Linked DNA regions of Macaca mulatta. The protein of the gene in region 7 purifies or fractionates together with the protein of the main gene of each other region. This does not show direct contact. Links are inferred from orthologs where the notes say so. Each region holds a gene or a part of one and is shown on either strand. Other genes may lie near its edges.

Region 1 (4,198 bases), on a different chromosome or scaffold from region 7:
TTTCTGTTTATCTGTAAATCTAATAGCGTATGTAGTTGAACTCTTGAAATTCTGGAATGTTTATTTTATTTTATTCATTGTCTTGAGAGGAGCAAAAGGAAGTGAGAGGGCATAGCTTTGAACTGGCAATTTGGCAACTTCTCTCCCCTTGCCACCCCTCCCCCACTATCTTAGCTATTTGACCTGATTAAACAGCTTTGGAATGGTAGCCAGACTTCTGTATGCTAACGAGGCCCCTACCCTATTATCGATTTAATGCGATTTCATCCACGCAGAGCTTCCCGGTGCCCAGTGGAAGCCTGACTTCGCAGAAGTCTCCCAATTTTGTCAGGGGCTCGCCAGTGAAGAGTTCACACTGACTTGAAGCAGACACAGACTCTTTGGACGCCTCGGGTCACATCGGATTATTCACTAGCAAATTCTTTCCACCTTCTAAGTAGTGAAAGGTGACGTCAGAATCGCGTGTGCCACTCCTCTAAAGGGACTCTGACAACACCCAGTCCAGGCTCTACGACTTCTGCCTAGGCACTTGCTTCCTAGTAGTAGAAAGTTTCCAAAGGTTGCCTGAAGTCCTCCCTACCTCTAAGCCTAAAGGTCAGAGCTCCAGGTCGCACCACCGAGCAGGAATCTGAGCATTTTGGAAGTTTCTGGTGTAGGGAGCAGAACAGAAGGGGTGGTAGCGGCGGACCGCGCAGAGTAACCCCCCTGCACTACGTAAAGAAAGCCCTGGCTGCAGGAGGGAGTGAGCCTGACATTGAGGCATTCCAGGGGGAGGGTGAGTTGCTGTCCTGGAGTCGCCAGGAACAGCAGCGGCAGTTCCAAGAAGCGAGAGAGGAAGGTGGCGGAGATAAAGAGAACACTTCGGGAATAAGAATATTAAAAAGCAGCAGGACCCAGAGCATTAGCAAACGGCAAAGCACACGAAGTAATTTGTTACACGAAACGGCAGCCTTCCAACTTTTGTACTGAAACACGGGGATTTACCCTTTGGGGGATTAAAAATGTTGATATGCAAAGCCAAAAGCTAATGAATAGGATTCAGTGGCTTGCTGGCAATATTGAAATATTTCTGTCCAGGAGCGCAAACTCTGCAGTTATTTAGAAAAGTAGGGAGTTGAACCAAACTATAATATTCTCCCGTGCGTCTCCACTTTCCCCAGCCCGAAAAGGAGCTGCCAACGCGGTACTTCCCCTTTAAGACCTGCTGGCTCTCGGGCTCTACAAAAGGGAGTGACCTCTGGGCTTTGACAGCTCCCCTAATAACTACCACCGAGCAGGCCCCGCCCACCTGGCGACCAGCCGCGCCGATTGGCCGGCGGGCCGGTATCCCGCGCTCTGATTGGCCTGTCGCTTCCCCTGAGCGAACCTTTAGAACTCTGAGACAGACAATATTCTGTTACATTGTAGCAAAATGGCGACTGTCATTCACAACCCCCTGAAAGCGTAAGTAAGACTAAAAAATGTACATATTCCGCGTGGTTTCAATATGAAAAAAAAGGCGCCTTCTGCGTGGCGAGCGCTGCCAGTGCTTGCGCTTGCAGGCGCCTCCAGCCGCGGCGGGGCTTCTCTCTTCTTTCAGCTCTTACTTCTTTTTTTTCCCCCAACGCGCAGAAATGTCAGGAGATGCAATTAACAAGAAGAAAATTGTTACATTTGTGTTCTGCTAAATTGCAGAGAGAGCGAGAGATAGGGGTTGCCGGCGGAGGAGCCCGGCGCTCGAGCGCTCTACAGCAGGGGGGTCGCGGGAGCTCGGGGACAGCGCGGTCCCTGGAGTCCCCCGCCTCGCGGGCAGGGAGCGAGGCTCCGGGGGCGGCCGGGCGGGGGGCGAGCGTCGGGCCGGGACTGCCTCGGTGCACTTGGCCGAGCCCTGCACCCCCAAGCCCGCGGCCCCCGCCCCGCCGCTGGGTCTGCTGGGTCCGGCGGACGCACCGCGGAGGCTCCGGAGTTTGCAGGGCGCTCTTCGCCTTCCGATCGCTCGCGGGGAGTTTGTGCAAACCTTCCGGAGTTGGGAGCACCGAGGGGGAAGCAGCGGGTCCCGGGCGCGCTGGGTCCCAGGTGGTCGCCCCGGGCTTTCCCCGGCAGCCCCCGGATCTCGGAGGCGCTCCGGGCGACCGCGCGTGTGTCTGCTCGTGTGTTTGCGAGCAACCTGGCTGCAGTGGATTAACGACTCGGGTTAACTTGGGGTGGATTTGGAGGCAGGGAAGCCGCAGGTCTTATGAATGGTGTTCTCGCCACCTCTGGGTGAGGCGCCGAGGCAGGCGGAGAGGCGGTTTTGGGGCTCCTGGCCCGAGGGGGCAGCGTCTGCTCCCGGCCGGGCGAGGGGCAGGTGCCTCTGGCCGCCCCGGGGAGACTTTGAGCGCTTGTCCAGATCCTGGACAGAGTGGGGCGGGCCGGGCGAGCACTCGCGGGGGCCAGCCCCGGGTCCAACAGCCAATTTCTGCCTGCCTGCCTGCCTTCCTCCTCCTTTTCATCCTGGCTTCCTTCCTTCCTTCCTTCCAGTCGGTGGAACTGTTAAGCCGCCAAGTCCGCTCGCGATCGCGGAGCCAAGGGTGGCCTCGGAAAACTAGTGTCGCTCTGAAAGGGGTGCTATTGGGTGATGTCGGCAGAGGGTGGCTCCCTCCGTATTCGAGGTGGGCTGGGGGTCCGCACCCCTTCGACCGGGACTTCCCCGCCCGGACGAAGCCGCAGGCAAAGAGGGGGAGAGGGAGGTGCGGGCCGGGTAGGGGGCGGTTCGTGCCGAATTCTCCCTGGTGCGTGGCCACTGTCGACCCTGCTTCTTTTAATTCAGCGCATTCTCGTCTTCACCCCTCGCCACTCCTGGAGTTGAAAACCAGGTTCGCTCCCGGAGACGGTAGGGGGGTTCCTAACGCAAAGGAATGCACAGGGAGAATCAGACGTGTTTGCACCAGCTCGTCGCCCACCAGAAATAGGGAAACGGGTAGGAATGCCCCAGGTTTCAAAGATATTTATATGAAAGCTGCCGTTAAGAGGACGTTGGAAGCTGAGGCTGAGCAGATAGGAGCTCCCGGCTTCAGTTCTGCCTCGGAAGCTCGGATACACTGCACTTGAACGCCACAGCGTTTCATCCAAGAAAGAAAATGTTTTATGGCAGAATAAATGGGCGTAACTTCGCCGCATCCTCGCTGCCGGTTGCTTTCGCTGCAACACCGCTGATGCTGTCTCTACCGAACCCACAACTGATTTGCAGTTTCCCCATATCCAGCCGAAATCACATAACCAGGCTGATGCCACCTGGTAAACTCAAGTTAGAGAATCTATTTCACATGTGCACCAGGTTTGTTTCCTACTGGGAAAGCCGTACCCTACTTACCCGGGAGCCCGCTTTCGCGCGGGCGGGCGCAGTATCTCTAAGCTTCAGTGTTCCCCTGCTCGCTCCAGGGTTTTTTTGGATCACAGTAGGGTGCGCGTTTGGGGAGGGAGTCTGTGTAGGGTGGGGTTAAGGGTGGGGGAAGGGACAGACGGGGGGAAAGAAGGTGGTGGAATCCCGGCTGGTTAGGGGAATTAGTTCTGAATTGTACTTTGTATAATTAGAAACAGTTGCAATGTGATGTATTTGTAATTGTGCCGCCACACGCATGCACACACTAGCATACACACAACGCCCCTGCTTGCTTTTTCTAGGTGGGAGTTGAGTGGTCATTTATAATTAGCCATTCCTTTCTGCTTCCCAGACCCTTTCCCTGGGGGTAAAGGGGTGTAAACAATACCCCTGACCAGCCCAGCCTCTCACACCCTGGACAGTTTTTAACTCCTAATGCAGGAGCACACACGTTGTTATTGGGAGACGGACACCATCTGCCTTTTTTTTTTTTTTAAACAACTTGTTTAATAAAACATCTTATATATTTCATTTGTTTTTAAAAGTTGCTGATCAGGAAACAATACAAACGTGAATAAATTATGCATGGGATAAATTAGAACAAAGTGCAGAGACACATCCAGCCGAAGGGATGGTGGTGGTGCAGGGAGGAGGGGTAGCGGAGAGAATGGTTTGGAGAGCTATGTTTTTATCCTCATGTGTCCCTCCTGACAATGAAACAGAGCTGAATGACATTAGCATTTTCTCTGTGTGCGTTCTGAGTCTCTCTCTTCCCTCCAAAAAAAAAAAAAAAAAGCCAACACCACGGACGCCCCCTACAGAAAATGGTCACACAAAGGTTTCCTCAGGATGGGGGAT
Region 2 (3,500 bases), on a different chromosome or scaffold from region 7:
TTTGTAATATTTTTTGTTGCCCCTTTAATAATATTTGGAATATGTAATATGAATATTTTAAAAAATCAAGCTTTTTAAGCTTTTAAAAGGTTTACAAATGCATAAGGTTTTGCTGTTTTTAATAGTCTTTTGATCTTTTTTTTGGAGATTTAGAGCGACGAGATTTGTCTCACAAGGAGAAACTCTACCTGAGAGAACTAAATGTCATTACTGAAACTCAGTGCACTCTAGGTAAGAATAGCTTTTAATGTGAATTTTTCAAGCTGAACATTTATGAGATGATATTGGATAAGTATGTTCTTTCCTAAAATATTTTACAAAATTAGTAAAATAAATTGAACTATTTAAATGCTACATTATTTACTTCATTTTTTATTATTGTTAAAATGCACAGGAGATTAAAGCTTGAACGTTCACACATGTGATTCCTGACTTACGGTTCAGCTTCATGATGGTGTGAAAGTAATGCATATTCAGTAGAAACCATACTTCAAGTGTCTATACAACCATTCTTCTTTTCATTTCAGTATAATATGTAACAAATCACATGACATATTCAACACTTTATATTAAAATTTGTGTTAGATGATTTTGCCTAGCTGTAGGCTAATGTAAGTCTTCTGAGCAGGTTTAAGGTAGGCTAGGGTAAGCAAAGATGTGTGGTAGGTTAGGTGTATTAAATGCTTTTTCTTTTTAGGATAGTTTCAACTTAGGATGGGTTTATCATATGTAACCCCATTGCAAGTCAAGGATCAACCTCTATTCTATAACAGAGTATAATTGTCTAATTTTTTTTGACACAGAGTCTTGCTCTGTTCCCCAGGTTGGAGTGCAGTGGCGCGATCTCAGCTCACCGCAACCTCCATCTCCCGGGTTCAAGGAATTCTCCTCCCTCAGCCTACCTAGTAGCTGGGACTACAGGCGCACGCCATCACACCCGGCTAATTTTTGTATTTTTATTAGAGACAAGGTTTCACCACATTGGCCAGGCTGGTCTTGAACTCCTGACCTTACGATCCACCCGCCTTGGTCTCCCAAAGTGCTGGGATTACAGGCATGAGCCACCACGCCCAGCCCTTGTCTAATAATTTTTACAGAGTTTTCAGAGTGTTTGTATTTTGTGTGCAAAGCTTGTACAATTTTCTTTTTTAAGTCGTAGGTTCTTTGCTGAGTGCATGGTGTGTGTCTGTAGTCCCAGCTACTTGGGAGACTGAGGGAGGAGGATCACTGGAACACAGGAGTTTGGGGTTGTAGTATGCTGTGATCATGTCTGTGAATAGCCACTGCACTCCAGCTGGGCAAGATGACGAGATCACATCTCTAAAATGCAAAAAGGCAAATTTTGTTCAGTTGTTAGTTCTGTATAATTATGTCCGTGCTTTATTTGTAATCTTTCTTTCACAAACATTTTAATGCAACGAATTTTTTTCTTTTATTCATCCAGTATTCTGTAGTACTTGTTAATAGTGCATTTCATTATTTAACAGTTGTTTCTAACTAAAGGGATATATGTTCAAAGCACAAAAAATCTTAAAAATAAAATTGTTTGATTGAAAAATTGATATATTTGCCTTTTGCAAGATAATCTTTTAATTGCTTGAGTTTATATTATTAATATTAAGTTTAATTATTTTCCAATGTACTAAGATATTTTGCTTTGGCTATTTGAAAACCATTAAAATGTGGAGCGGTTTGAAGAAGTAAATTTTGAAGAGTGCTTTTGTTCACTTATCCTTAAAAGAGCTTCTTTATTTTTTTATTTTTTGGTCTAAAATAGGTTTAACAGCATTGCGCAGTGATGAAGTGATTGATTTAATGATAAAAGAATATCCAGCCAAACATGCTGAGTATTCTGTTATTCTACAAGAAAAAGAACGTCAACGAATTACAGACCATTATAAAGAGTATTCTGTAAGTAATTGAGGTGACTGGCATTTTTTATTTGGGTTGGGGAGAATGACATTTTATAAAGTTGTATGTGACTTCCAACTGTATATTTTTTTTTCCAGCAAATGCAACAACAGAATACTCAGAAAGTTGAAGCCAGTAAAGTGCCTGAGTATATTAAGAAAGCTGCCAAAAAGGCAGCTGAATTTAATAGCAACTTAAACCGGGAACGCATGGAAGAAAGAAGAGCTTATTTTGACTTGCAGACACATGTAGGATAACTTAAATTTAGTACCCCTGAACTTAGTTTATTACTTGTTATTGCAGAGTGCCGATTACCCCCTTTATCATTATTTTTTGTACCACCTTTTTTTTTTTTTTTTTTTTTTTTTGGCGGAGTCTCACTCTGTAGCCCAGGCTGGAGTTCAGTGGCGTGATCTTGACTTGCTGCAACCTCCACCTCCCGGGTTCAGGCGATGTTCCTGCCTCAGCCTCCCCAGTAGCTGGCATTACAGGCGCCTGCCACCACACCCAGCTAATTTTTTGTATTTTTAGTAGAGATGGGGTTTTACCATGTTGGCCATGTGTTTTTTTCCTCCTCGGAAGTTGAGATACTAGTTTTAATGCTGTGCTTAATAATACTCAATTTACATTTTTTTGTGAGATGTCTTTTGCTTTATGGTTGATAGTTCTACTAAATGAGACTAATAATTGCTACATATCATACTTGCTATGTGTCCCAAGAGTTTTTAAAAGAGATTTGCATGTTAATTCTCACAGTAACCATGTGAGGTTGGAACTAGGATTACTTCCATTTCATAAAGAAATTGAGCTACAGAGAGGTCGTATAAGCTACCTAGATCACTCTGCTGTTAAGTAGCGAGCAAGAGATCCATTGCCATTCCTCAGGAGAATAGGCCTCTGAAACGATAATATATAGAATTGAAAGCACCAACTGTCCTCTTAGGTTATAGCTCCCAATATCTCTTAAAATTCTAGCTTTTCTAGGGAGAAGTGGGCGTGCAGTGGAGAGCATGTGGGGACTCTTCCTAAAACCTTGATTCTTAGCATGGAATCAGTTTTGTGTTTCTCTTTATGTTAACATAGGTTATCCAGGTGCCTCAAGGGAAGTACAAAGTTTTGCCAACAGAGCGAACAAAGGTCAGTTCTTACCCAGTGGCTCTCATCCCCGGACAGTTCCAGGAATATTATAAAAGGTATTTAGTAGTTTTAGTTACACTTGGTATTGGCTATTGGTAAGGGGTTTCAGAGCCTTTTGTACTTGCCTCCTAACAATTATGGGGTCTATAGATATCACCATAAGATACTATATAGGATTTGTGTTGCTGTTCTTCTCTGGTTCTGTGGTAAACAACACCCTGTAGTCGGAATTTGAATATATGCTGATGAAATCTGGATGCCTCTGTCTCTGCCTATTTTGTTTGGGTTTGTCAGAGACAGATGCTGGGAGTTCTATAGCACCTCACTGCTCAGGGTATGTTCTGTGGTCCAGAGCACTATTATTGCTCAGAAGCTTGTTGGAAATGCAGAATCTCAGGCCCAATTCTAGACCTGTGACTCAAAGTCTGCATTTTAACAGATGTCTGTATAAT
Region 3 (4,086 bases), on a different chromosome or scaffold from region 7:
GTTGGTGTGCTGCACCCATCAACTCCTCATTTACATGAGGTATAACTCCCAATGCAATCCCTCCCCTCTCCCCTCCAAACTGATTACTTTTACACCCATTAGATCAGGTAAACAATTCGCCTAGTATTGAAATTCAACAGCCTTTTGCATTCTGCAGTTAGGCAGGTGCCTACCAGCCAATGAGGACCATTCTGAACTGTGGCAGATGGACAGGCACTGGCTCCACCTCCCCAGCACTGACATCTTTGAACAGTTGTAGTTTAAGTGACAACGTGAAAATTTTATTGCATCCTGCATTTTTTGTTTTACAAAAATTGATGGAGGCCAGGCACAGTGGCTCATGCCTATAATCCCAGCACTTTGGGAGGCCGAAGCAGCCAGATCACTTGAGCTCACAAGTTTAAGACCAGCCTGGACAATATGGTAAAACCCCATCTTTACTAAAAATACAAAAATTAGCCGGGTGTGGTGGTGTGAGCCTGTAGTCCCAGCTACTTGGGAGACTGAGGTGGGAGGAGGGCCTGCGCCTGGGAGGCAGAGGTTGCAGTGAGCCAAGATTGCACCACTACACTCCAGCCTGGGTGATAGAGTCAGACCTTGTCCGGAAAAAAAAAAAAAAAAAAAAAAAAAAGGGTGGAAAATGCTAACACTAAAGTTCTGATGCTATTGACCTTAGTCTCAATCCATGGGACTCAGTGTGACCATCTTGAGGCTTCATTCATTCATGCTATGCTCAATTGTGAAAGAAAAAAAACCCCGCAAGTTTAAAAAGTATGAATGCGCTGAGTGTGAGTGTGGTGGCTCACACCTGTAATTCCAGTACTTTCAGAGGCTGAGGTGCAAGGATCACTTGAGCCCAGGAATTCAAGACCAACCTGGGTAACATGGCAAAACCCCGTCTCTACAAAAAATACAAAAATTAGTCGGGCATGGTGGTGCAAACCTCTAGTCCCAGCTACTTGGGAGGCTGAGGCAAGAGGATCGCTTGAGCCCAGGAGGTCAAGGCTGCAGTGAGCTGCGATCACACGACTGCACCAAAGCCTGGATAACAAAGTGAGACCTTTTTTCAAAAATAAAAATAAAACAAAGCATGAATACAATGCTGGAATATGATACTAAAAACTGCTACAAGGAGAAGAAACTCATTGCATTTCTTTTTTTTTTTTTTTTTTGAGACGGAGTCTCGCTCTGTCACCCAGGCTGGAGTACAGTGGCCGGATCTCAGCTCACTGCAAGCTCCGTCTCCCAGGTTTATGCCATTCTCCTGCCTCAGCCTCCCGAGTAGCTGGGACTACAGGCGCCCGCCACCTCGCCCGGCTAGTTTTTTTGTATTTTGTAGTAGAGACGGGGTTTCACCGTGTTAGCCAGGATGGTCTCGATCTCCTGACCTCGTGATCCGCCCGTCTCGGCCTCCCAAAGTGCTGGGATTACAGGCTTGAGCCACCGCGCCCGGCCTCATTGCATTTCATGACAGCTTTAATTCTCCAGGATTGGCACTTACTTCCTTACATGAGACTCCACTGCTTGACATTTGTACATCTGAACTGCATATCCATAATTTTTTTAAAAAGGTAACATATACTAGCTGGGGACTGCCTTTGGAGCAAAAAAGGCTAGTTTGAGACAATCTGGAAAAACCTAATATATGGCCAGGCGTGGTGGCTCATGCCTGTAATCCCAGCACTTTGGGAGACCCAGGCAGGCAGACTGCTTGAGCCCAGGAGTTGGACACCACCCTGGGCAACATAGCAAGACCCCGTCTCTATAAAAAACGAAAAACAAGAACCTAATATACTGGGAACAAACACCCATTAAAGGCCAGTTGTAGGGTTTTCCTAAAGTCAGTCATCCAGTTGATGCAACAAAATGCAGCCTCTCTAGTTAAGGGTTAAACATTTTTAGGCTCTTTCCGCTGTAACAATTCAGAATCAGTTCACAGATATGGAAAAAGTGTCAATTGCTTCAGAATTGCTGAAAGATCTGGCTTAGGCATGGGGCCCTTATTCACCCAAAAGCAAACACCCTCCAGTCTGTTTCTTCACTGGTAAAAAGGTCAAAACACCTCCACTGCCCACCTTAGAGGCAACAAACACAATGGGGATGAGCCCTCACTAAGTCCGGGGTTTCCAGTCTGCCATTTCAGGTTCCCACAAGTAGCAATAGGAGGAGGGGCGCATGTGAAATTTACAACATCTAAGGGTCAAAGGCAGCAGTGCGGTCCCCCAAGCATCGCAGGAGCTAACTCAATATCTCGTTAATTTGCGTCTGGCTGGAAACCAACCCAGCGCGGAACCACTGGGGACCCTCTCGGCGCCAAAATCCTGGTAGCACTACAGATCGCGCACCTCGGCGAAATGGGTAAGGAAATCCCAGGTCGATGAGGGGGCGGGGGCCATGCCCGACACGCCCACTAGGCCACGCCCTGCAGCCCCGAGCGCGCGCGCGCCCGCCCGCCCCGATGAATGGAGACGCGCGCTCTCGGCGCATGGGCCTGCCCCAGGGCTCCCGCGGGGCCGAGCCCGGGGAGGGCGAGGACGCGCCGCGGGCTACCTCGGAGCCGATCATGTAGAACTCGCCGTCGTCCTCCAGCTGGAACTTCACGGGCTTCTGCCCGAAGGTCTTGCTCAGCGCCATCATCATCATTGCGGCGGCAGAAGCGGGCGGCTGGAGCCGGGCTGCGAGAGATCGGGAGGGCTGGGGCGGGGCCGGGGCGTGCCGGGCCGAGGGAAACCGAAGCCGGAAGGCAAAATGTGGACCGGGCCGGGTACTGGCGCCTTAGCCGGGCTCCTCAGCCGCAGCCGCCGCCGCAGACGACGACCAGGCCGCCCTCAGTGCGCAGGCGCTGGCGTTGACGCTGACGCGCGCGCCGCCGCTCAAACAAAAGGCCGGGCGCGCCTCCGCGGACCCCTTAAAGGAGCCACGACTAATTTCTCTTTCTCCCAGGCTGCTTCCCAAGTCGTGGTGTAGAGGACTTCTCACGGACAAAAATAGCCACTGAGGTCCTGAGTCAAGCAGTGGCTTTCCAAGTCTTACAGCCAGGACTGGAACTGGCCCAGGGGAAAAGAAATGAAGTGAGACCTGAAGGAGGAGGACCTAGTATCTGGAAGCCTGAGTGGTCTTGGCATGCTTTGGGACCCCAGGCTCCTGCCTTAGCTTCCCCACCCCTAAAACGCAGTGCAGCTGAGCAGATAGGCAGGCCCCTAGGAACAGATATCCCAGTTCCGGGCCTATGGCTGTCCCTGCAGTTGTGGAGGTGGGCAAAATGACAACAGCAGATGAGGCTTGGCAATGTTCAAAGGCCCAGGTGGTATTTGGTTTGGCTGGTGCGTCAGATGAGCGAGAGTTGGAAGGGAGGGACACCTTCCACCTTCTCCATTCCCCTCTTAGCTTCACACTCTGCTTAACCCAGCCCTATGGTGGGGAGCGAAACCAGGCAGCCCAGTCCTTCGGCTCTGCCTCTTGGCTCTTACAGCCTGAAGCTAGTGAAACTAATGAAAGTCTCAAAGCAATCACGTAACTGATTGAATAATGCAGGGAGTAAAACAGTGGCCCACTACTGATGATTTCATACGGTTCAGTCTAATGAAATTGCAGCTGTGGCTGGGCTCAGTGGCTCATGCCTATAATCCCAACTCTTTAGGAGGCCAAAGCAGGGAGGATCACTTGAAGCCAGGAGTTTGAGACCAGACTGGACAAGACAGCAAGACCCTGTCTCTACAAAAATTTTAAAATAAATAAGCTGGGTGTAGCATGGTGGTGTGCACCTGTAGCCCCAGCTACTTGGGAAGTGGAGTGGGAAAGATCCCTTAAGCCCAGGAGTTCAAGGTTATAGTGAGCTGATTGCACCACTGCACTGCAGCCTGGGCAACAAAGGGAGACCCTGTCTCTCTTACAAAAAAAAAAAAAAATGCAACTATGATAAATGCTATTACAAAAACACACATGGGGCTGGAAGGTAGGGCAAGGAGACACTGGAGAGTTGGGAAGGGCAGTGACTGAAGTTGCTTTGTTCAGTATCCTCACAGTGGTGGGAAACCAAAGTACAGTAATCCCTCAGTATCCATGGGAATTGGTTCCAGGACCCCC
Region 4 (4,219 bases), on a different chromosome or scaffold from region 7:
TCCTCTTCATTTACACAGGGCGTATCCCAAGTACCCAAGAGTATTTAAACTCCAACAAATCCTGTAACTGGCCCCTATGGTCAGCCGGCCCCCACACTGGAGTGTACTTTCATTTTCAATAAATCGTTCATTCCTTCCTTGCTTTGTGCGTTTTGACCAATTCTTTTGTTCTTCTTTTTCTGTTTTTTTTTTTTTTTTTGAGACAGAGTCTCGCTCTGTCAGCCAGGCTGGAGTGTAGTGACATGATCTCGGCTCACTGCACACTCCGCCTCCCAGGTTCAGGCCATTCTCCTGCCTCAGCCTCCCGAGTAGCTGGGACCACAGATGCCCGCCAAAACGCCCGGCTAATTTTTTGTATCTTTTTTTTTTTTTTTTTTTTTTTGTAGAGACGGGGTTTCACCGTGTTGGCCAGGATGATCTCGATCTCCTGACTTCGTGATCCGCCCGCCTCGGCCTCTCAAAGTGCTGGGATTACAGGCGTGAGCCACCGCGCCCAGCCGTTTTGTCCAATTCTTTAAGATGCCAAGAATCTGGACACCCTCCACCAGTGACATCTTCACAGTTCTGAGGAGTATTCATGGGGTATTTTGTAGAATGTTTCTCAATTGGTATTTGTCTGATCTTTTTCTCATGATTAGGCTGGAGGTAGCTGGGATTTCAGGTGTGAGCCACCATGCCCAGTCTCCAAATCCTGTTTACGCAAAAATTTTTAAAAATTAGCCAGCCTTGGTAGTGCGCGCCTGTAGTCCCAGCTACTCAGGAGCCTGAGGTGGATCACTTGATCCAGGGAGGCGGAGGCTTCAGTGAGCGGAGATTATGCCTCCCCCGCTGCACTCCAGCCTGGGCGACACAGACCTTGTTTCAAAAAAAAAGCCTAATATGGCTGGGCGCCCTGGCTCACGCCTGTAATCCCAGCACTTTGGGAGGCCGAGGCGGGCGGATCACGAGGTCAAGAGATCCAGACCATCCTGGCCAACATGGTGAAACTCCGCCTCTATTGAAAATACAAATATTAGCTGGGTACTCTGGAGGCTGAGACAGGAATATTCGCTTGAACCCGGGAGGCGGAGGTTGCAGGGAGCCGAGATGGCGCCACTGCACTCCAGCCTGGCGACAGAGCGAGACTCCGTCTCAAAAATAAAAGAAGCCTAATACACGAAATAAAGCTAGAAATCTTCCCTGAGTCCTCCTGCCTACGGAATGAAGTCCACAGACCTGGGGGAGCGTTCGAGCCCCTCTAAGCACAGTTCCTTTCTCCAGCCTCTCGCGCGCAGTTCACTCCCGACAACACCTCCCGCCGCCACAAGGAGACGCCCGAGGACTGCCCTCCGTCAAAGCCCAAACGGTATTGCCACGTGACCCGCTCCGCATCCACGTGAACAGCGTCGCACCCGGTGGGCGTCACGTGACAGACTCAGTAGTTCTCCAATCGCTGTGCACGTTGTGGGGTTTCCACCTAGGACTCGGCCTGAGGCTTGTAACACTTCGTTTTCCCAGGAGTCACAGGGGCAGTCTTGCCCCTTGCAACTGGGTCGCGGTGACTCTCAAAGGTCCCCCTCTACAGGGGCTTCGTGAGGCCCGGGCCTACAGCGGGCTCGGTCCCGGAAGTGACGTCTCCCACAGGGGCCGGAAGTGGCAGTGGAGGGAGGGAAGATGGCGGAGGTGGTGAGTCCGGTGCCCGGGGCGGGGCGGAGGGAGCCAGGGGAGGTGGGTAGAGCCCGAGGCCCCCCAGTAGCCGACCCTGGCGCCGCGCTGTCTCCCCAGGGGGAGATAATCGAGGGCTGCCGCCTACCCGTGCTGCGGCGGAACCAGGACAACGAAGATGAGTGGCGTGAGTGACGTTGGGGGGCGGGGCTAAGGAACCTGAGGGCGAGGGGCGGGAGGGAGTCAACTGAACCCCCGGGATGGGGAGGGGCCTCTGGAATTATGGGGCGGGCGGGGCGCAGATACTCCCATGAAGGGGCGTGGCTCTTAGCTGCTCCGAGAGGTACAGGGCGGGGCCTGGAAAGGGGTGGCAGTAGTGACTGAAGGAGACTTAGGAGAGACCTTCTAAGTGCTGGAGCTTAGGGATCCGGCCTTGGGGTGGAGTTCAGGTCGTGGAAGGGTGGAGTCTCAGCCTGGCCCGGCCCGTCTAAGGCCCCTGCCTATGCTATTCCCATAGCCCTGGCTGAGATCCTGAGCGTGAAGGACATCAGTGGCCGGAAGCTTTTCTACGTCCATTACATTGACTGTGAGTTCTGGGCCTGAGGTGGGGCATCAGGGTAGGGTTGGGGAACAGTCTTTGGCATTCTGTCCTGAGCCATCCCCACTGCTGCAGTCAACAAACGTCTGGATGAATGGGTGACGCACGAGCGGCTGGACCTAAAGAAGATCCAGTTCCCGAAGAAAGAGGCCAAGACCCCCACCAAGAACGGACTTCCTGGGTCCCGTCCCGGCTCTCCAGAGAGAGAGGTGGTGAGTAGGTCCCCCACTTCACCTCTTCTCTCCTGCCTCGTGTTTCTCTTATCTGTTGGCATTAGGGGCTCCTGGATGGGCAGTAGGCGGCTCCCTCTCACCCTGACTTCATCTTGCAAAGGATGGGGGCCGAATTGCACATGTAGCTCCCAGAGTCCAGTAGCTAGTCCTGTGTCCTTCAGAAGGCGAGGGTGGGGTTTGATAATTTTGAGCTGAGGGACCCCTGTTCCCCTTCCCCATTCCACTGCCATCCCCGCCCCAGAGGAAGACCCTGGACCTATCTCTACAGCCGGCCTCGGCCCAGGCAAGCGGGAAGACCTTGCCAATCCCGGTCCAGATCACACTCCGCTTCAACCTGCCCAAGGAGCGGGAGGCCATTCCCGGTGGCGAGCCTGACCAGCCGCTCTCCTCCAGCTCCTGCCTGCAGCCCAACCACCGCTCAACGGTACCCTCAGCAATTCCAGGGACCTTGCTTTCTTCTCAGGTCCCACCTTCTCTACCTTCTGACCCACCTTTGTTGGTTTCTCTCTGCAGAAACGGAAGGTGGAGGTGGTTTCACCAGCAACTCCAGTGCCCAGCGAGACAGCCCCGGCCTCGGTTTTTCCCCAGGTGAGTTTCCCAAACCATTTCTTGTTCCCTTTCTCTCTTCTACTCTCTGGTGGCCTTTTTCAGGCTCATCTCACAGCCATCCCTTCTTTTACTACTATATCTGCAGAATGGAGCAGCCCGTAGGGCAGTGGCAGCCCAGCCAGGACGGAAGCGAAAATCGAATTGTTTGGGCACTGATGAGGTGGGTCTGGGGAGCAACAGAAGGAGCTGGGTGAAAAGGAAGGGATGCAAGCAGGGTGGAGAGTTAGTGATGAGTTTAAAAATAAAGAAGGGGTGGTAGGCGGGGCTAGTGTTGGTGGGATTAGGAGCCAGGCAGAACATGGTTCAAATGAGTCATTGGGGCTGGGTGCCATGGCTCATACCTGTAATCCCAGCACTTTGGGAGGCCAACCAAGGCGGGCAGATCACCTGAGGTCAGGAGTTCGAGACCAGCCTGACGAACATGGTGAAACCTTGTCTCTAATAAAAATACAACAATTAGCCAGGCGTAGTGGCAGGCACCTATAATCCCAGCTACTCAGAAAGCTGAGGCAGGAGAATTGCTTGAACCCCAGAGGTAGAGGTTGCAGTGAGCCAAGATCATGCCACTGTACTCCAGCCTGGGCAACGGAGTGAGACTCCATCTCAAAAACAAGGGTCATTCAGTGATCTTTTCCACATCATCAATCCCTTAGGGTTTCAGGTTTTTTATCCAGAAATTGGGGATCATGGTACCTCCCCCATAGGGTTGCTGTTAGGCTTGCAGGAAACCTGTCAAAGGGCTGTGAGCTGTGGTGTCCTGCTGAGCTGTCTCTTCTAACCTGGTATTTTCCACTGGCCCTGGGCAGGACTCCCAGGACAGCTCAGATGGAATACCATCAGCACCACGCATGACTGGCAGCCTGGTGTCTGACCGAAGCCACGACGACATCGTCACCCGGATGAAGAACATCGAGTGCATTGAGCTGGGCCGGCACCGCCTCAAGCCGTGGTACTTCTCCCCGTACCCACAGGAGCTCACCACATTGCCTGTTCTCTACCTGTGCGAGTTCTGCCTCAAGTACGGCCGTAGCCTCAAGTGTCTTCAGCGTCACTTGGTATGAGGGGTCCAGGGAAGCTGCCTTCCCAGCACTCTCCACGTTGCCCTTGTTCCTGACTGTCCTCTCTTCTCCAGACC
Region 5 (3,500 bases), on a different chromosome or scaffold from region 7:
GCCCCACCAGGGGGCGCCCATGGGCCCCCCGGGCTCCCCCTACATGGGCAGCCCCGCCGTGCGACCCGGCCTGGCCCCCGCGGGCATGGAGCCCGCCCGTAAGCGAGCAGCGCCCCCGCCCGGGCAGAGCCAGGCACAGAGCCAGGGCCAGCCGGTGCCCACCGCCCCCGCGCGGAGCCGCAGGTGAGTGGGAGGCCCGGCGCGGAGGGGGCGTGCAGGGGCGGGCCCTGGGGACCCGCAGGGACCAGGTGAGAGAGTAGCGGGGATTGGAAGAGGTGAGGAAGAATGATTAGCAGGGAGCGAGGCTTCCCGGATCGGATGCCCTCTGGGGAGGTGGGCTTAGGGGGCACCGGCCTGATTCTTTTGTGTGCCCACGGTAGAGACAGGCTGTGGCCGTCGGCAGCCGGTACCGCTTCCCTGCACGTTCCCCTCACCCTTCTCCTTGTCACCTGCTCAGTCCCTCTCTCCACCCATCAGGTTCTGGGTGATGCTTCAGTCTTTGGGTTGGGGGCGGGGCTTCCAGTGGGACTGAGGGCAGAGCTGTAGGACTGTGTTGCCCAAAGTGTAGTTCTCCGCTGAGCCTTCCTGCCAGACCCCGGACTGTTTCAAAGCCACTCCAGATTTTCTCAATGGGACTCTCTGGCCCTGGGGGTGGAGCTTGGGGATTTGCCCTGTGGTAGGTGGTCTCTGCCCAGTTCCGCTCTTAATTCTTAGGCACTCTGGACCAGGTCTGCTCCCAAGCCACCAGGGCCAGCCCATTGCCTTATTTTCCTCCAGCAGCTGGTGGCACCCTTAAAGCCCCTGCTGGCTCCTGGCAACAGCAGTGCCCCTCTGGATTTCAGTATTTAGCCAAATACACATGCTTTTTTTGCACAACAGATGGATTTCTATAAAAGGTGTAATATCAATTTTACCTCATTATTAAGTATTTTTTACACATCAGGTAAAATTCACCACTTATAGGAATCCCATGATGAATTATTTTGTAAAGTGCATCGTCATTTTGTACAGCAAACGGTAATTCCCTGATTTATCTTGTATAAATGGAGAGTTACACAAAGATAATCTGTCTAAAACAAACCAGACCTTTAATGAAATCTGCTTGTTAGCCTTAGATTTCTGCATAGGGAGGGGGTAGTGGTTGAGAACACCACACGGGGGCAGTATGGAGCTATTCTCTAGGCTGCGTTTTCATCTCTTGACCCGCCAAGGTTTTTCTGGGGGTTTTTGGGTTAGTCAGCAGCAGCTAGTGGGTCAGAAAGAGCTCACATCCAGCTGCTACTACCCTGGGCCTAGTCAGTTTGGCCTCAGCCTGAAGTCACACCCATGCACATTCTGGGCGCCTATGGCTGCAGCATGTCCCTCACCTTGTTGCCAGGTAGTCCCAGGGCATGAGTACCCCTGCTCATCAGCATTCTCTTGCAAGCCCAGGGTGCCTGGAAGGGATGCAAGTCCCGCCAGCTTCACACCATCACCTCCCGCTCCATGGATAGGAAGGAAGTCGTCTATCTCCCTCCCTCTGAGCTTAGAATCCTTTGGACAGGGCACCCCCTGCTTTCCAGAAAAGGTCCTCAGACCTGGCTTCCCTCTCCTTTGTCCTCCCTCATCCCCACCTTTCCTCAAACACTTCTGCAGCTCCCATCTTTTGGCAGCACCACCCCCACTCGCCAGTCCCTCCTAAGTCTAAATTTCTCTGTCCCTAAGGATGTGGCAGGTTAGAAGGGGGCTCCCAGGCCAGAGAATGGACGGGTCACCCCTGTGTCCTTAGAGAGGACAGAGCACCAGTTCCACACACCACCGTCATAGCCCTTGGGCGGGCAGACAAGCGGGCTGTGGGAACCCCAGCCAGGCGGGCGGAGATGTCGGGATAATTTAGCAGGTGGCCTCGTTACTCCCAGATCTGTCGCCATGGTAACCTGGTTTTTTCTTTAAAAAATGTACAGTGCCAAGAGGAGGAAGATGGCTGACAAAATCCTCCCTCAAAGGGTGAGTGTCTTTCACAGCAGCCCCCAGCCCACCCCCTACCCTTTGCTGCTCTGCCCTCCCCTCCCCCCTCAAAAGCAGAGCTTCAGTGTCACAGTCACTTTCACTTTTTGTTTAAAAAAACTCATTAGTAAGTGAGGCTCCCTAGGCCAGAGGGAGGGGGTGAGGTGGAGGGAAGCAGCAGAGCCACTGGGGCCAGAACACAGGGGCCTGTCAGGGGGCTGGATCCAAGTGGTACTAAGACAGAGTTGTGGGACAAGAAGGGGGCAAGAGCTAGGGGATCAAAAGCTGCCAGGCAGAATGAAGGGGATAGAAGGTGGCCAGAGATCCTGAGCATCCTAAAGGGACCCAGGTCCAGCTGGATATGGGGGACAGCACAGTTGGGACAGGTGTGGGGGCTGAGCAATGTGCCAGCAAAGAAGAAAGCACTGCTGTCCAACTGTCCCAGGGATTGAGCCCCTACTAGGCACTTTGCAGGGGCCCAGGGGAAGCCCAGTGGGCATATGACATAGAAAATGACAGGATGAGGAGACTAAAGGCTAGTGCTTTGCTGGGTTCCACAGTTGCTACCTCCTCCCCGTGATGATACACAAGGCTCTTCCTAAAGGGAGAAGCAATTGTTATCCCTACACAGCAAGGCCCCTACTGCTGGATAATGGCATCCTGGGGAGAGGTCCTGTTCCCACTGTCAAAGCTCCATGCCCAGAAGTAGGATGGCTCCCCCGACATCTTTTGCACCCTAGGATTGCACAACATGCATACATTCCATGGTACAACCCTGGACTCGAGCCTCTGACTCCTGCCCTGCTCCTCCTCCTCCAGATTCGGGAGCTGGTCCCCGAGTCCCAGGCTTACATGGACCTCTTGGCATTTGAGAGGAAACTGGATCAAACCATCATGCGGAAGCGGGTGGACATCCAGGAGGCTCTGAAGAGGCCCATGAAGGTGCCTTAGTTCGGGGGTAGGAAGGGGACTCTTGAGTCGCGTGACCAGGATGGGGAAGCAAGGTAGTCAGGGTGGAAGCACACAGCATTTGCCAGGTTCTACACTCTATTTCTACAGCAAAAGCGGAAGCTGCGTCTCTATATCTCCAACACTTTTAACCCTGCGAAGCCTGACGCTGAGGACTCCGATGGCAGCATTGCCTCCTGGGAGCTACGGGTGGAGGGGAAGCTCCTGGATGATGTACGTCCCGGCCCAGGTCTCTCCAGGTGTCCTGGGGTGGGCACGGGCTGCACTGAGAACAGAACAAAGTGTCTGCACTAAGGGCTAGGGAGTCAGCCCAGGCTGGGGAGGTGGGGGCAGGCCTAGAGACATTCCAGGTGCAGAGGATTTCATCTAAGCCCACTGCCCTGTCTGCTGCCAACTTGGCCTCCTTCTGCTTCTCCCACCCTGTCCCTGTTCTGCCCCCATGGTTCCTGTTCCTCTCCCACAGCCCAGCAAACAGAAGCGGAAGTTCTCTTCTTTCTTCAAGAGTTTGGTCATCGAGCTGGACAAAGATCTTTATGGTCCTGACA
Region 6 (4,084 bases), on a different chromosome or scaffold from region 7:
GAGGCAGGTGAAGTTCAAATCCTGGTTCCCATACTTGTTGTGTGCACTAAGAAAATAATTTGACATCTCTACACATTAGTTTTCAATCTGTAAAATAGGACTGATAATATGGATGGTGTGTGAAAACATATACTGTGCATCATTTATTATTTTGCTTTACATTCTGTAGCACCCTCTAGTGGTGTATACAAAAATATGCATTGCATTTCTACTCTCCAAAGCAGTGGTTCTCAAACTTCAGTGTGTGCTGGAATCACTGGGATAGTTTGTAATAACACAGATTACCAAACCCCACCGTGAGAACTTCTGATTCATTAAGTTTGAGGTGGGACCTGAGAATGTGAATTTCTGACAATTTTTCAGGTGATGCTGATGTTTCTGGTACATCCAGGAAACACATCTTGTGAACCACTGCTCTAAAAAAATCCCTCTTGTGTACAAGTATATAAGATAGATAATTGAAAGGGGTATGATTTTTGTTGTTTGACTTTGATCTAGTACTGCTCATCTAATAAGGACTTGGTGATAAATTAAAAAAAAAATCGACATGAAGGATATAACACAGCATCTAAAATATAGAAAGCATACAAAAAACTGAGGATCACAGAACATAAATCATTTGCCCAGGGTACTGAGACTAGTAAGTGGTGGAATGAGGTTAACAATTAAGTCTCTTTCTCTTACTCCAAAGACACAATAAAGTCTATCAATACCACTACAGAAAATAGGGTGCAAACACACATATCTGATACAAATTTCAAGAGAAAAGGAAAATCAGTTTTCAATACCAGGGTCCAAGTTTTACTGATGAGTTCTTATCTCTTTACTAAAGTAACAGCTATCTGTATTTTCAGTTTGGGTGAGTTGCGAGCATTTGAAAAGGTGAGGAAAAAGGGTTAGGATCTTCAGCATCAGTGCTTGGGTCATTCATTAACTCTTTGATTAAACAAGGCAAGGACAAAAGAAGCGAGGGATGGAGAGGGGCCTTCCCCCCCGCCCCCCCACCCAAGGAGAAAAGGAAAGAAATGAGTAAAATTATTTGGATCTTGGGTCACAGTTCCCTGACTACTAGTGCTATTCACAGAAGCTGATTTTATTTTTTCCTAGGAATGAACGATATCAATGATGCCTTAGATATTAGCGTTCAGCAAATCAAGAAAGGGGAGGGGGGAGGGAAACAAAATCCCAGAATCCCAGGGACCACACAGCCAATCCTTTGCTGGGATTTGGCGGCATCTAGTGGCGAACTCGAGAGGTATAAACCTTACCCACAGAACTTTCTGGAAAATTAACAGTGCGTATTTGCCTGAAGAAGGTCAGTGTGCTTGCTTGGAGATCAGGACGCAAAGGTAAGAGCGCCCTAGTCACCATAAAAATCCGGAGTCTCTAACGGAGGGGAAGGCTGTCATAGATAGATATTCTCATAGGAAAATTGTATTTGTGCCAAGAGAACTGCACGCAACCTTGAAGGGAGGGGGGAGGTGTGGAAGAGGGGAGGGAGGAGGATACTAGACAACTTGAAAGAAGTCTCCCTTTGGAGTTGCTAATGTGACGATGGAAGGCTTTGGCTCTGAATCATTGGAGGGCTGTGGTTTACGACCGGATTTTGGCACAGAGGAGTATTTAAATCAGGGAAAGCCAAAATATTTCTGACAGTGCCCCTTTATCTCTGTTATTGTCGCCTTGCCTTAATTATTTATTTTCATTTTCATTAGAACATTTTCAAACAAAATACAGAAATAGATAACCTGCGCGCAGTAGCTAACCCCTCCCCGCAACTCCCACCCCAATCACGCACGCGGGCGCGCGCCGTGGCTCTCACCAGTCCAGACGCCAGGGGCGCACGCCTGCGCAAACACATCACCTCCAGCGCCACGAGGGCCGCTCACACAGCAACCCCAGGGGCACTCGAGCCTGCCCGCGCACTAACACACTGGCCTTAATGCCTTGCGCCCGTTGCACTCACGACCCTAACTCGCAAACACAGCAGAACCCCCCACTGCGCCTTTTTTTTCCATGTTCGGGGAGTTGCGCCACAGGCCTGGGGGCGTGGCTCCAGATTTGACCTCGCGCTTCCCCACTCGCGGGAACCTTAGCTCATTTCCGCCTATTTCCGCAGGCCACGTAGACACTTCCTCTCCCAGTGGGGGGCTGGGGGGAAACACAAACCCATAATGCCTCCCTGCAGGAAAAAAATTAAAAAAAAAAAAAAAAGGAAAAGGAAAAAAAAAAAAACCTTCTGGTCAGAGGAACTCTGGGTCGTGAAATAGGCCACGTGAACATTCTGCCCTATAGACTTATGACCCAACGGCTGTCACGCTTTTGGAGGGCGGGCTAAAAACCTAAGAGGGCGAACGTCATTGGCCGGAACTCGCACTGACGGAGGAAGAGGATTGGTTTGCTGTAGGCCTTAACAGTGAAGAAGCAGGTTGCTAGCACCCGCCTTTACTGCGGCGAAGTGTCATTGCTGACGTGGGGGTGGTTGTCCAATCATTTGGTTATGGAACATTCTAAAACTTAGACAAGACGATTGTGATTGGCTGAAGGGCATACGCCCTCCTCCAGGGTGACGTGTCTGCCTATGGATATCAGTTGCCAGAGAAACCTGGCTTTACTATGGCGGTTGGAGGAACGGCAGTGATCACACGTCGTCTGCTGGGAAGATCTGGATTCTCGTTTCAGGTTTCGGGGTGGGGGTGGGGAGAAAGGGTCGATGATTTCCTCTTTTCGTCGGGTATAGACGGGATTAGCTAGTTCCTTCACAATCGGTCAGAGCTGGATTCAGATTCCTGCTCGCCAACGCCCAGCTTGGGCAAGGCTCCTGTTCTTTCTGTGTCTCGGTTTCCATGTTTGTAAAATGGTGATAATAATAGTATCTACCTCAGAGACGTGTACTGTATAATGGTGCGTATAAGGCACGTAATATGAAGCCTGGCCCCTGAAGATATTAGCTATTGTTATGGAGATAAATAATACACGTAATAGAATGAGAAAAATTATAAATTATATAAATTCGCTAATTGTAGTGCCCTTTCTGCCATCAACTTCTTTCCTAGAATAAATTAAAGATAAAAGAGATATATCAATTTTTACCAATGAAATAATTTGCTCTTTGGGAATTGCCTCAAAATTGCAGAGATTGTAATTTTCCCATGTTGAAAAGTTAAATAAAAGGTGGGGGGGTGGAGTGCGAGAAAGAAAGAGATGGAGAACGAGAGCGAGCTGGAGATGAACCACATGCGATGAGTAGGCCTTGTTTGGATCCTGAATCGAACACACCAACTGTAAAAATATGTTTAAGACGCATCGGGAAAATTGGAACATGGATTCGATATTTGATGTTTTTTAAGGAATTGATGTCAATTTTTTTAGGCGTCACAGTAGTATTGTGATTATGTTTTCAAATTGTCCTTTTTTGTAGAGACATATACGAAAATATTTACGGATTAAATAATATAATGTCTGGGATTGGCTTCTAAATACATTAATGACTAGGATTTGCTTCAAAATAATCTAAGCGGTAGGGGGAAATGGGGAGGGGTATAGATGAAACAAAATTGACCCTAAATTAATAATAGTTTTTGCTGAGTGATAGGCAGTGGGTTCCGTATATTAATCTGCTTTCCTTGGTATACGTTTAAATTTTTGTATAATAAAATACAGAAGTCAGATATTCCCGTGAGCTTGAAAAAGTCGGGGGTGGGGGGGAGCAGTGGGTGGGGTTATAGATGAAACAAGATGGCCTTCAGTTGGTAATTGTTGAAAGCTGGATGATGGATTCGTGTAGGTTTGTAATACTATTCTTTTATTTCATCCATTTGAAATTATCTTTAAGGAAAAGTTAAAAAAATTGTCAGAAATTATATAAATATACAATAAGTTAAATTTGAAAATGTAGCCACAAGAAAGGAAAAAGAAATACTTGTACATTATTTATCAGCTTTGGTGTCCTTTGTGTGTGATGAAATTGCATTGGCTGATGTAGAAGAAAGCCATATCTCATATCTTTTTATTTTATGTCCTTTCCTGTCCTTTTGTTTGACCTTCTAGGTCACCATCAGAAAAGCTAAGTTTGCTGTATAGT
Region 7 (4,117 bases):
TTTTTAGGATACAGTCCTGCTCTGTCACCCAGGCTGGAGTGCAGTTCCGGGTTCAAGTGATTCTTGTGCCTCAGCCTCCCCAGTAGCTGGGACTCCAGGCATGTGCCACCATGCCTGGCTAATTTTTGTATTTTTAGTAGAGACAGGGTTTTGTCATGTTGGCCAGGTTGATCTTGAACTCCTGGCCTCAAGTGATCCGCCCGCCTCAGCCTCCCAAGTTGTTGGGATTACAGGTGTGAGCCACCGCACCTGGCCCCTTCTACATATTGTTATCAATGAACAGCTCTCATTGAATTACAGTTACCATTTCTGATCAATATAAGATGCTATCAACTACATGATGCACCACTATTTCCGGCATCACTAAGAAAATAATATGGCAATTAAAACTCTGCCAGGCCAGCACTACTGAGACATATTCCGGCTGGGGGCAGTGGCTCAAACCTGTAATCCTAGCACTTTGGGAGGCTGAGGCGGGAGGACTGCCTGAGCTCAGGAGTTCAAGACCCGTCTCTATTAAAAACAAACAAACAAACAAAAGACATATTCCAACTTCAGCTGTTTAAATGTGGGAAAAATGTACAATTAAGAATCGGTGAAATATGGTGTCTATTTACCTAACGGATTCATCTACAAGACTGAACTTCTTGATGACAACAGCCTATACCTGCCACATAGTGCTCAAAAAACATTTTTGTGAAATAGAAAAAAATCCAACATATCAGCTCATTTTCCTGCCCTAATTAGTAAACTGGATATGGTGGAAGTTTAATTTAAGACTCTAAATTCTTAGAATTTTACATCTGTTCCTTTTTCAGGATGGGAGATACATCTAATTCCTGTACCCTGCTTCATTAAAAATCAAGCCCCATGAACCCTAAGTAGGAGAGTGGCAATGGGAGGCAGGAGGCTTAGTAGAAAGAACCACAGAGTTCTGGATGTTTAAAACCTAGGATGCAATTTCTAGTGTATAAAAATCCTCAAGAATTGAACCTCGGCCGGGCGCGGGGGCTCAAGCCTGTAATCTCAGCACTTTGGGAGGCCGAGACGGGCGGATCACGAGGTCAGGAGATCGAGGCCATCCTGGCTAACACGGTGAAACCCCGTCTCTACTAAAAAATACAGAAAAACTAGCCAGGCGAGGTGGCGGGTGCCTGTAGTCCCAGCTACTCGGGAGGCTGAGGCAGGAGAATGACGTAAACCCGGCCACTGCACTCCAGCCCACTCCAGCCCGGGCGACAGAGCGAGACTCCGTCTCAAAAAAAAAAAAAAAAAAAAAAGAATTGAACCTCTATTCTACTAAAAAGGCTTTTTTTCTTTTTTGAGGATTTAAATGTTTTTCTCCTTCCAAGTTTAGGGGTGATGTGATTTTCTTGGGGAACATGAAGGAAAAATCTTATTTTTGTTGTATCTTACCTGTAAAATGACATCCTTTATAGAAACAGCATCACTACTAGACACAGCAACAATAGCAATAGTCTGGATTTGTTTTCTGGGTCTCTAACTCATCAAACACAACCCAAAACATTAATTATATGTATCAGTGTTTTGATTCACCTGCAGATCTTGCAAAAATGGAGGCTCTAAATCAGTAGATTTTGAATGACGCGTGAGATTCTGCATTTCTAAGAGGCTTGCAGGTGATGCTGACACTGCTGGTCCATGGACCAGACTTTAAGTGGCAAATGTAGCATTATTTCATTTAACCTTTACGCCCATCCCCATTGGCTAGGAATTATTCCACAAATGAGGCCTGAAGTTGGAAAATTATGTAAATTGCCTAAGACCAAAGCGCTCAACAGTGAGGCGGATATTTCAACTCAGGTCTGTAACCCCCCGCACCTGGTAATCTTTCTGCCACACCAGTCTAATCAAGGATAAGTGAAAAAACAAGACGCCTAGGACCCCCGGCAAACTTTCTGGGCATCCTTAAACTACACGTGCTCCTGAATTAATCTCAAACAGACCCGCCCACGAGTCACTCTGGAGACTCCGCAGCCAACAAACAGGCAGGAGTTACTGAAAGGTGAGGCAGCTCGCGCATGGGGCACAGACAGGGAGGAGGCAGTACCCTAAGTGGCCGCCGCTTCCCTAGTCAGTTCTACGGCTTGAGGCTCGCATTGCCACCTGTGAGACGCTCTGGGAACCCTCCGTCCACGCTTGCAAACCGCCGGGACCTTCCAAGTTTAGGCGCGAGCACATGCGCCCCGACACAGCCGAGTCCAGGAGGCACTCGTGGAGATGCGACCCTGGGGCGGTAACGCAACCCGGGGCCCGGCGGCCGGCTGGACTGAGCTTCCCGCCCAGCCCCGAGGCTCTCTAGAGAAACGAGCGTGCATCCCAAAACCCTGCTTCTCCGGGGGCAGAGGCAGGAACCGGCCACAGAGAGCCGCCACTCCAGGGCGCCCGAGGCGCTGGCCGAGCCTGGTGGGCTCCGGGGGCGGGCAGAGCGTGGGGCGGGGATGGGGCGGGGAGGCCGGGGTCCCGAGAGGGGGAAACCGGAAGGGAACGCCGAGGAGGGGAGGGCTGGGAGCGGCGGTTACAAACCCCACACGCCGAAAACGCGCGCTCTCTCCTCCGGCCGCACTCACTCACCTCCCCCGTACACGCCGCCGCTCATGGCTGCTGCCGGCGCGACCCCTACCCTAAGGGCTAACTGGAGAAGTGACTGCAGTGGCCGCGACTGCGAGTCCCGAGAAGCGATAGCCCCTGACTCCCTTAACTTCCACCGCCACCCCCCTCAGGCAACAAAGCGGCGTCCACACACCCCGGAGCTCAGCTACACTTGCTGTCTCCTCCTATCAGCCAATCACGAGGGTCCAGGCCTACGTTTAGTCAATCAGAATGCGGCTGCGCCGCATCCCCGCCGCGGCCCAGCAGGTTTAGCCAATCGAAGGCAGCCATGGGGGCGGGGAAAGAGGAAAGCGACAGCCGGACAGAAGGAGTTGGGTTGCGGAGCTGAAGCGGGCGGAGCTTCCCGGGTGGGCGAGAGAGTGGGCGGAGGCAGTGGGAGAAGAAGGAGGAAGGCTGGAGGGAAGCATGGGAGGGGCGTAAGAGGTGCGGCTGGGCGCTGAGGAGCTGCGGGAACCTGGGTAGGGGAAGGTAGACTTCTGGAAATTGAACGTGTGTCTCCACGCTGAGATTCCTGTCCAGTGACTGTGGGCAATGTGGATTTCTTTCTTTTTTTCTTCAGAAAAAGTATTTTAAACTAACTTTAGGTTGAAGAAATAAAAATTTTGCGCTCCACTTTGGGATAGGGGAATCAGTAAATCAGACAAATTGATAGGATCTTGTAATTTTTAAAATGGTTATTAATAAGTAAAAGAAGAATGAAATGATGCATTATCCCAGCTAAACCTAGGTAGCGCTTTAAAAACGATTTAAAAAATCAATTTCTTAAAAAAAAAAAAAAAATTTCAGGCCGGGTGTGGTGGCTCACCCGTGTAATCCCAGCACTTTGGGAGGCCGAGGCGGGTAGATCACGAGGTCAGGAGTTCGAGACCAGCCTGGTCAACACAGTGAAACCCCGTCTCTACTAAAAATACGAAAATTAGCTGGGCGTGGTGGCACACACCTGTAGTCCCAGCTACTTGGGAGGCTGAGGCAGGAGAATCGCTTGAACCCAGGAGGTGAAGTGTCCGGAGCTGCACGCCCGGCCATAGTGAATAATCATTAAAGATTAAATGCCTGAGCTATATTCATTTCCACCCCACATCTTCTCCCTAGATTTACCTTCTTCCCTGTATTAATACCGCCATTAAAAGATGGCGCTCTTCCTGCTTCTTTTTCATTCTTTTTTCCCGCGCCTGGGACAAGACTACCTGACTGCGCAGGCGCAACATGACGTCCGACCGGAGAAACCGAGGCTTATCTGGCCACGCCTTCCTTTTTTAGGTAATTTCCGCCTTAGCCCAACCCCTTCCCCTCCAAATGTATATAAGGCATTGCATTACCGCCATTAAACGAGACTTGATCAGGATACTGTCTTGTCTCCATTTCTCGTGTCTCTTGTTCCCCAAATTCCCACCCCCTCTTCCAGGGCCTGCTTTGACAATCCCGTGGGCCGGGACTCGTGGCGCCCAAACGTGGGGCCTGGAAACGAGGGACTCCGTGAGGA

What was found.
Region 1: the proteins of ACTL6A (region 7) and DPF3 purify together in Homo sapiens (affinity purification with mass spectrometry; 4 studies listed by BioGRID and IntAct, counting the BioPlex papers as one, with this or other methods). This does not show direct contact. The link is inferred for Macaca mulatta from reciprocal best matches to the Homo sapiens genes ACTL6A and DPF3.
Region 2: the proteins of ACTL6A (region 7) and PHF10 purify together in Homo sapiens (affinity purification with mass spectrometry; 3 studies listed by BioGRID and IntAct, with this or other methods). This does not show direct contact. The link is inferred for Macaca mulatta from reciprocal best matches to the Homo sapiens genes ACTL6A and PHF10.
Region 3: the proteins of ACTL6A (region 7) and SMARCB1 purify together in Homo sapiens (affinity purification with mass spectrometry; 11 studies listed by BioGRID and IntAct, with this or other methods). This does not show direct contact. The link is inferred for Macaca mulatta from reciprocal best matches to the Homo sapiens genes ACTL6A and SMARCB1.
Region 4: the proteins of ACTL6A (region 7) and KAT5 purify together in Homo sapiens (affinity purification with mass spectrometry; 6 studies listed by BioGRID and IntAct, with this or other methods). This does not show direct contact. The link is inferred for Macaca mulatta from reciprocal best matches to the Homo sapiens genes ACTL6A and KAT5.
Region 5: the proteins of ACTL6A (region 7) and SMARCD3 purify together in Homo sapiens (affinity purification with mass spectrometry; 3 studies listed by BioGRID and IntAct, with this or other methods). This does not show direct contact. The link is inferred for Macaca mulatta from reciprocal best matches to the Homo sapiens genes ACTL6A and SMARCD3.
Region 6: the proteins of ACTL6A (region 7) and MORF4L2 purify together in Homo sapiens (affinity purification with mass spectrometry; 5 studies listed by BioGRID and IntAct, with this or other methods). This does not show direct contact. The link is inferred for Macaca mulatta from reciprocal best matches to the Homo sapiens genes ACTL6A and MORF4L2.

Annotation. Positions count from the first base shown.
Region 1 is NC_133412.1:146,037,055-146,041,252, reverse strand, and holds the start of DPF3 (zinc finger protein DPF3), read left to right. Parts: upstream 1-1,398; 5' UTR 1,399-1,411; coding exon 1,412-1,443; intron 1,444-1,478; exon of another isoform or gene 1,479-1,623; coding exon of another isoform or gene 1,624-2,032; intron 2,033-2,082; coding exon of another isoform or gene 2,083-2,177; exon of another isoform or gene 2,178-2,316; intron 2,317-4,198. Other genes in the region: uncharacterized protein LOC114679596, read left to right, coding at 1,624-2,032, 2,083-2,177. UniProt on the Homo sapiens protein: Belongs to the neuron-specific chromatin remodeling complex (nBAF complex).
Region 2 is NC_133409.1:2,313,296-2,316,795, forward strand, and holds part of PHF10 (PHD finger protein 10), read left to right. Parts: intron 1-147; coding exon 148-231; intron 232-1,777; coding exon 1,778-1,911; intron 1,912-2,009; coding exon 2,010-2,159; intron 2,160-2,994; coding exon 2,995-3,104; intron 3,105-3,500. UniProt on the Homo sapiens protein: Involved in transcription activity regulation by chromatin remodeling. Belongs to the neural progenitors-specific chromatin remodeling complex (npBAF complex) and is required for the proliferation of neural progenitors.
Region 3 is NC_133415.1:27,965,597-27,969,682, reverse strand, and holds the start of SMARCB1 (SWI/SNF-related matrix-associated actin-dependent regulator of chromatin subfamily B member 1), read right to left. Parts: upstream 2,801-4,086; 5' UTR 2,644-2,800; coding exon 2,551-2,643; exon of another isoform or gene 2,510-2,550; intron 2,206-2,509; exon of another isoform or gene 1-2,205.
Region 4 is NC_133419.1:8,680,893-8,685,111, reverse strand, and holds the start of KAT5 (histone acetyltransferase KAT5), read left to right. Parts: upstream 1-1,419; 5' UTR 1,420-1,653; coding exon 1,654-1,831; intron 1,832-2,161; coding exon 2,162-2,230; intron 2,231-2,317; coding exon 2,318-2,454; intron 2,455-2,716; coding exon 2,717-2,899; intron 2,900-2,988; coding exon 2,989-3,063; intron 3,064-3,169; coding exon 3,170-3,244; intron 3,245-3,890; coding exon 3,891-4,139; intron 4,140-4,216; coding exon 4,217-4,219. UniProt on the Homo sapiens protein: Catalytic subunit of the NuA4 histone acetyltransferase complex, a multiprotein complex involved in transcriptional activation of select genes principally by acetylation of nucleosomal histones H2A and H4.
Region 5 is NC_133408.1:190,675,212-190,678,711, reverse strand, and holds part of SMARCD3 (SWI/SNF-related matrix-associated actin-dependent regulator of chromatin subfamily D member 3), read left to right. Parts: coding exon 1-183; intron 184-1,943; coding exon 1,944-1,986; intron 1,987-2,805; coding exon 2,806-2,928; intron 2,929-3,045; coding exon 3,046-3,168; intron 3,169-3,418; coding exon 3,419-3,500. UniProt on the Homo sapiens protein: Involved in transcriptional activation and repression of select genes by chromatin remodeling (alteration of DNA-nucleosome topology).
Region 6 is NC_133426.1:110,318,700-110,322,783, reverse strand, and holds the start of MORF4L2 (mortality factor 4-like protein 2), read left to right. Parts: upstream 1-1,284; 5' UTR 1,285-1,349; intron 1,350-2,613; exon of another isoform or gene 2,614-2,690; intron 2,691-4,050; 5' UTR 4,051-4,084. UniProt on the Homo sapiens protein: Component of the NuA4 histone acetyltransferase complex which is involved in transcriptional activation of select genes principally by acetylation of nucleosomal histone H4 and H2A.
Region 7 is NC_133407.1:91,570,826-91,574,942, reverse strand, and holds the start of ACTL6A (actin-like protein 6A), read right to left. Parts: upstream 2,801-4,117; 5' UTR 2,621-2,800; coding exon 2,596-2,620; intron 2,447-2,595; exon of another isoform or gene 2,072-2,446; intron 1-2,071.